2 linked regions of the Macaca mulatta genome follow. Each later gene encodes a partner of the first gene's protein in a complex. Links are inferred from orthologs where the notes say so. Each region holds a gene or a part of one and is shown on either strand. Other genes may lie near its edges.

The links.
Region 2: STRN3 (region 1) and STK24 share a complex: the UniProt entries of both Homo sapiens proteins name them as parts of the core of STRIPAK complex. The link is inferred for Macaca mulatta from reciprocal best matches to the Homo sapiens genes STRN3 and STK24.

The regions. Positions count from the first base shown.
Region 1 is NC_133412.1:104,028,523-104,032,342, reverse strand, and holds part of STRN3 (striatin-3), read left to right. Parts: intron 1-882; coding exon 883-1,023; intron 1,024-3,820. UniProt on the Homo sapiens protein: Calmodulin-binding scaffolding protein which is the center of the striatin-interacting phosphatase and kinase (STRIPAK) complexes.
Region 2 is NC_133422.1:93,178,298-93,182,117, reverse strand, and holds part of STK24 (serine/threonine-protein kinase 24), read left to right. Parts: intron 1-3,276; coding exon 3,277-3,385; intron 3,386-3,657; coding exon 3,658-3,815; intron 3,816-3,820. UniProt on the Homo sapiens protein: Serine/threonine-protein kinase that acts on both serine and threonine residues and promotes apoptosis in response to stress stimuli and caspase activation.

The sequences.
Region 1 (3,820 bases):
TTTTAAACTTATGTAGATTATAAAGCATTGTCTTTTCAAAGTATTTTTTTCTGACATTCTTAAAACTTGTTTTCTTTCAAAATATATGGTTCAAAATAATTCTGCTATTTCTAAAGTTCAGAGTTAAAGAATATTCTACAATACTACAGAAGCTTTTGAGTTTTATATGTTTTGGCCTGAATTATCCAGGCAACAGCCAAAATTCTTCCCTTACATTTGTGGCTTATGACAGTGCTGACTTTCATATCATGAGAAACTCAGAGATCTATCTCATGGATAAATCAGGTTTTTCAGATTTGGGAAAAATGAGAAAAACATTTTGGAAGAAATTGGGGATGATTTGTTAATGACAAATTTGTACTAACATGGCAGGAAAATATCCATGGAAACACCAGGTAAAGTTAATCGTTTGTTGCACCCTCATAAAAATTATTTGTACTTATTCCTTTGTTAACTTTTTTAAACAGTGAATTATGTTGAAAAGCCCTTATTTTATTCTTTATACTGGTAAATGTTAACCTTAAACACCAAAATTTTCCTTTGTTTTAATGATACCTTCTTTGTCTGTGAGTTTACAGAACTTTAAAGAACTGTCTCTAAAGTATTCTATGGAGATATATATATATCTTTAGAGAGAGAGATATATGTAATACATATATGTATCTTTATATATATCTCTCTCTCTCCACAGAAATAATAAATATTTAAACTCAATGTGTTTTGGGGGATGGTATAGAAAATGGAAGACATCTTTAATTTTCTGATATTTTAATAACTGAGACTTCTTAATAGTCTGTTTTGTTAATGAACTGGTTTTAGACGCTGCTGGCAAGTCAAGCGGTAGCCATTAAATGAACCTCTACTGCTGACATTAATTTACAGGGGCCAACAGGACAAAACTCTACGACATGATAGCTGATCTGGGAGATGATGAGCTGCCCCACATCCCTTCAGGAATCATTAATCAGTCTAGGTCAGCCTCTACTAGAATGACTGATCATGAAGGTGCAAGAGCAGAGGAAGGTACAGAATTTAGCTACCATGTTTATTTACATTTCAGAAGACCTTAAATCCAAATCACATCTTAATATTGCAACTAGGCTACTGTTTAAAATGTTGATGATCATTTTATATGATCTTTAGAGAAGGTGTTGGGCAAGCTCTTGATGTAATTAATTTAGGGATTTTGACATTTCTGGCTTCTATTTCTTCATATTTTGTTTTCATTTTTAATGTGAGGAGGAGTTGTTTCCATCATAGGTGAATTCAGAGTCTTTAATTTTAACTACAGATCCAGTAATGGGAAAATAGTAACTTACAAAAACAAACTTAAAATAATACATATGGAAAAAGCTGCTCATTTTGTCTTATTGCTTAAATTTAGCAGCTAATAATAATTACCACTTACTAGAAGACAACTGTGGTGCCAGGCATTGTGCTTGGAACCTTTTTTTTTTTTCTTTCTTTCTTTTTTTTTTTCCATGAGACTGAGTCTCACTCTGTTGCCCAGGCTGGAGTGCAGCTCACTGCAACTTTCGCCTCCTGGGGTCAAGCGAGTCTCCTGCCTCAGCCTCCCAAGTAGCTGGGACTACAGGTGCATGCCACCATGCCTGGCCAGTTTTTTGTATTTTTAGTAGAGACAGAATATTACCATGTTGGCCAGGCTGGTCTCAAACTCCTGACCTCAAGTGATCCGCCTACCTTGGCTCCCAAAGTGCTAGGATTACAGGTGTTAGCCACAGTGCCCAACCTGTTACTTTAAATATGTATTACTTTAAAAAATATGTGTAACTGTTGCCTCAATTAATCCTTTGAGAATAAGGCAATATCATTATTCTTTAACTTGGTAGCAAGTATATGCTACCTAGTAATGAATTTTATAAAATTTGCCTAAACTAGAAATGTGTAGGAAATGAAAGTACTACTTAAACGTTTTTTCCAAAATTGATTTTGGCCAAAGATATATAGGTATACTTGAATCATTTATAACTCTAAGTCTAGATGTTTATAAGTATTGAATCTGAGTTTTTAACCAAAGATTATTGTGACATACGAGATACAGTAATTTGGCATATATATTAAATTTCATTGATGTTATTGCCTTTGCTGTGTAAAGAGGATTTGTTTGATGTCCCAGTCAAAAAATTTTAAATGCATCTTGTTCCCTTTTAAGATTTCCCTAGTGGCACAGTTTCCTTACAGTTAAATAATTTTGCATTTTTTTCCCTCTCATAATTTACCATTTACTTCACTCACCTTAAAAAAATCACTAAAATAACAGTCATTCAAAGCAAAATGAATGAAAAATAAAATAGTGTCTGTTAATTTTTTCAGATCTCATTTCCACTATTGAGATATATTCCTGTTTTACTTTAGAATGAAAAATAAAATAGTGTCTGTTAATTTTTTCAGATCTCATTTCCATTATTGAGATGTATTCCTGTTTTACTTTAGAAGTATTTTCTAAACTACACATAGCAACTCCATTTTTTTTTTAATGCATTTAGTGATGATTTTGCTTCATTTTTGGTCTGTTTTGCCAAATATGCATAGCACAACTTGCTAAAATTTTTGTAATTAATGTACATTTAAACTGCAAGTTTTGCAGTTTAAGGCAAACCCATGTTAGCAGTGTGAACCCTTTTAAATGTTTCAAACCAATGACTTATGGTAAAAGCCAATCAAGGCACACTCTACACAAAAACCAGCTTAGAGCTCTCTATGTGTGTTTGTTTATGTGTTATGTGTGTGTTTTAAAGAAAGAATATAGGTCAGTGATCTGTTTCTTGATGCTGGGAGGAGGGCGAGGGGAGAGATTTGATAAATGTGAACTTCATTACAGTTTTTGAAGTGTCGATCTTACTAGAATTTGTTATTTAAAGAGATGTGAGTTTGACTTCAAGCTAAGAAGGCAGCTTTGGAGTACATAATCTCTTTATTTTCAGTGGCACTGTCCAACTTACTTCTTTACTTTTGAAGTCCATGTCCTACCTCATTTTGTAAAGAACAGTGTCTGTTTTCTAGGAGTGGTACTTCAACATTACAATCTTCTAGACTGTTGTTACTAAAGACTTGAGACATATCACATTGCCGCTGGTATAAATGGAATCTGTAACCTGGACTAAGTTCTTGGGAAAAAGAGTTCAGTATGTGAGCTACAGGTTTCCTTCATGATAAGTGTCCATCAAAAGGAAGATTAGTTATAAAAATCTGAAAAAAACCTTGTATTTTATAGACCCATTATACTAGTATTGTTATATTACTTGATGAAATCCTTCTTAGGCCTCCTAATAAAATGTCTTATAATTTCCATCATTAAATTAAAAACTAGGCCAGGCATAGTAGCTCATGCCTGTAATTCCAGCACTTTGGGAGCCCAAGGCAGGAGGATCACTTGAGCCCAGGAATTCAAGACCAGCCTGGGCAACATAGCAAAACCCTGTCTCTATTAGAAAAAAAAAAAAAAAAGATACCAAAACTAATTTTTTAGGCTGGTTAAAATAATTATATTTTTCTTTGAATTACTAATGACATTTTTATACTATGGGTAATTATATTACCATTAATAAAATGAATTTTTAGGATAGAAATTAATTCCATCTGCAGGGAAATAAGGGTAAACAAATGAGTAGCTGCTGGGATTACCATATGCCACAGTGATGGGTAATATGGAAAGCAGAGATAATAGTGTAAAAGAAGTTTTACACATATATATGTAAATAAATACTGAGTAAGCAGAATAGTTTGCAATATCTACATAAATATGTCATGAAATATATGTGTGTATATAGAGAAAAGGATAGAAATGTGGTCATATGAT
Region 2 (3,820 bases), on another chromosome or scaffold:
ATGGGTTTTAAGAAATGAGATGGCATATTCATTAATGTTTAGGCCAAGCTGCCATCCTACTAGCTCTAACACATTGTCTCACAAAAGGTAGAAATTCATTTCTCCCCTGCACGTGGGGCCAGTGGCTCTGACCCACACTGTCACGGTCTGTGCTGGTGGGTGGCTCCACCATCTGGAGCCCCAGGCTTCCCTTGGTCTTCAGCCATTGTCCTCTCTCGCTGCCAGTGCTTCAGGGCCAAGACCAAGCAGGGGCACGGGGCACGTTTGCTCCTGTCTGTCCCGCTGGCAAGGTCTTAGTTGTGTGACCACAGGCTGCTGCTTAGAGTCTGGGAAATGTGGTCTCTTGTCGTGGCTGTGTGCCCAGCTGATAGTCCCTATTACAGAGCTTCGAAGCAGGGGAGGACAGACACGGGGAGGGGAAGTTACAAGTCACCCAGCGGTGGAATGTAGTCTAGGGTTTTTTCCTGGGTCCTATTTGAAGAGTCTGCAAGTGCCTGAATGATGGAGAGCATGGTCACGATGGTGAACGCCAGCCGATGACTTGGAGAGCTTGGCCTGGTCCGAGCTGCTTAGGAGGCACTCTGGGGTAGACAACAGCTAAATACCCTTTATCGTGGATTTTGATGCAGGAAGGATTTCTCCCCAAATAAAGGAGAGTTTTATCTCTTTTTCTCCTCTTCCTCCTCTTTCCCCATGGGCATATGAGTCAATGTTGGATGGTGTTCAGGGCAGATTTAAAGGGCAGAACCATGCAGATAGTCATCACAGAGCCGCCCTTAATTATCCAGGGGAGGATTTTCCATGAGTGTTCCTCACCTCTTCTTCTTAGCGCCCTTTGGGGATGACAGCCAGCCGCTCTGCCATTGCTTTCGGGAGACTTGGTAATGGAAGGGAGGGTGGTTAAGTCCAGGTCTAGCCAGAGGTTATTGATTGTTGGCTTGGGCATAGACTTGGTGAAGAAGGAGATGGGAGATGGGAGATGGGAGATGGGACCCAACTCTAGTGTGACTTTTGGTTTGTTTTTTTTTTGGTTTTTTGTTTTTTTTTGAGATGGAATCTTGGTCTGTCGCCCTGGCTGGAGTGCAATGGTGTGATCTTGGCTCATTGCAACCTCCGCCTCCTGGGTTCAAGCGATTGTCCTGCCTGATCCTCCCAAGTAGCTGGGATTACAAGCATGTGCCACCAAGCCCGGCTAATTTTTCTGTATTTTTAGTAGAGATGGGGTTTCACCATGTTGGCTAGGCTAGTCTCGAACTCCCCACCTCAGGTGATCCACCCTCCTCGGCCTCCCAAAGTGCTGGGATTACAGGCGTGAGCCAGCGCTCCTGGCCTCTCACATGACTTTGATCTTTGGTCGAGTGGATTCTCCTGCACTTCAGGGTTGGGAACAAAAGCAAACACTCCTACGTCTTACCCTCCTCCCCACGTTCCACCCAGGTGATGAGAAGAGTCTGTGTTCCTCATTTTGAAAATCAATATTTCTATATTCTATGAACACCGAAAAATAGATGTGGAGAAAACAGACTTACCACAAGGCAGGGTTTTCCAGATGGTGTTCTTTAGAAGAGTAGTTTCGATATGCATTTCTTGTAAAAAAGACTTTTGGTCAGTTAACTGGGAAAAACTATGTTCTGGGGAGCAGAGTCTGTGCCATAATGTCTTAGTCTGAGGTAACTTTTGGACAATATCTTAATTGGAATTTGGGACAGTTCCTGGCAGGCGATGGACACGGGCATTTTGACCTTCTCCGAGCATATGCGTGAGGTCAAATTCAAAGCGACAAGTGCATTCTCTGCGCCTGGGTCCTGAGTGGAGAAGGCCGGGGTGGCTGGATTCCAGCTGGGTCTACTGCCAGGCAGGCCAGAGTCGCATCGAGGCCAGTGTGTGGGGAGAGGCCACCTCTGAGAGTGGCCCTGACCCTGGGATTGCTGTGTAGACCGGGGCGGGCCTGCAAGCCAAGGCAGCACAGCTCACCCATGAGCCGGAAAGCAGCGCCAGGTGTGAGTCAGGCTGTGGTTTCGGTGACAAGGGCTGTCTTGGTTGCCCCCATCCTGCGCCCCACAAGCCCTTCCGGATGTTGAACAGGATGTCCCGGTGAAGGAGCTGAGATATGCAAGGGGGACTATCGGGGTCTGTCCCTGATAGTCTGAGTCTGTCCCTGCACGCCTCAGTCAGACGCTTCCCGCAGAGGAGCACCCTAGTTTTCATCCCCTTTGGCTTAAAGCACATAACTTATCTTTTTAAAACTAAGTGAAAGGCCCCAGATTGTGTCTTCCCGTTGGCTAAAATGTGTGGGTGTGGGCTTTGAAGACATTCACTGTCACGCCTGAAAACCAAGAATGGGGGACCATGATTCGGAGGAACCTGCCTGTATTGACATCTGCCCTCTGTCCGGCTCCGTTTCTGTGGTTCCGGGGAGCGTCGGTGGCTTTGCTGCTGTCGTCCGTGGAATTACTGTTTTTGACTGACTGCCCCACTCTGCAGGGGGCGGGGGCGGGGCTTCCCATCTGGTTTGAAGTGAGCCTGTTACCCTGGTTTTCCTTTCCTTTTAAATGGAGATGTGGATACCTGACATTTCTTCCTTTTGTCTTGTACAGTTGTGGATATAAAGGAGTCAGTAGGAACAATTAGTTTGAGTTTCTGAGAATAAAAGCTTACAGAGGTAATTATTACCTCAGGGATAATATAATAATTATTTTTATTATATAATATCGATTATATAACAAATCCCAAACTATTAGGATTTAAGCTGTTTCAGCTGCATTCCCCCAAGTTGGGGAGCTTTAACTGCGGATTTAAAAAATTTCTAGTACAAGGTTATCCTCAGAGGCGCCGGGCTCCTAGGCCTTTGTTCCTAGGTGTTTTTGGATCCCAGGGGTGAGCCTTCTGATAAGGGAACCACATATGTTGGGACAGATCCTGGCTGCTCTGTGAGTCTCTGGCTGTTTGTTTCCTGGAGTGAAATCCCCAGCCTGTGCCCCGCCCGTGCCATGGCCGGTGGGGCGTCCTGTGGTCAGCTGCAGGCGCAGGCGGGGCCGCGGGCTTCCTCATTGGCTCCGCTTTGCTTCGTTCAGCAAAGCCGTTTTCTTGGGCTCTTTGTTTTTTAAGTGTCTGTCAGTGGACTGTAATTGTTAGGGCAAAATCCTGTGTTTTAAGTGAAGAAGATTTCAGGTTTTAATTACCCTTGTCCATTAACATGGATAGTGTTTCTGTTTTATCTCAAACTGTTCATAAGATAATCATTTAAGTAACTTTAAGAATTTTTTCTCTTCTTAGTTAGAACCTGGCCCGTTAGATGAAACCCAGATCGCTACTATATTAAGAGAAATACTGAAAGGACTTGATTATCTCCATTCGGAGAAGAAAATCCACAGAGACATTAAAGGTAAGAGGACGTCTGTTTTCATTCCTTTGAAATACCGAAGGCGGTGGTGGGGTTGCACTGAAGCCTTCTCAAGGGAAGGTGCTGGCACCCATTTGTCCTGCACGTTTGCCTTGCCTGGGCTGGGCTGGCTTTGAGGGGGTCTGACAAAAAGTGTAGCCCCCAGTGCCTGTTCTCACTGGGCTCAACACCTAGCCGGGGAGAAGACGCGCTTGTGGCAGTGCATGGAGTTGTAAGTCCCCGCCGCTCAGGGCCCCCTTGGCTTGCTTTTGCAGCGGCCAACGTCCTGCTGTCTGAGCACGGGGAGGTGAAGCTGGCGGACTTTGGCGTGGCCGGCCAGCTGACGGACACCCAGATCAAAAGGAACACTTTCGTGGGCACCCCATTCTGGATGGCACCCGAGGTCATCAAACAGTCGGCCTACGACTCGAAGGTGAG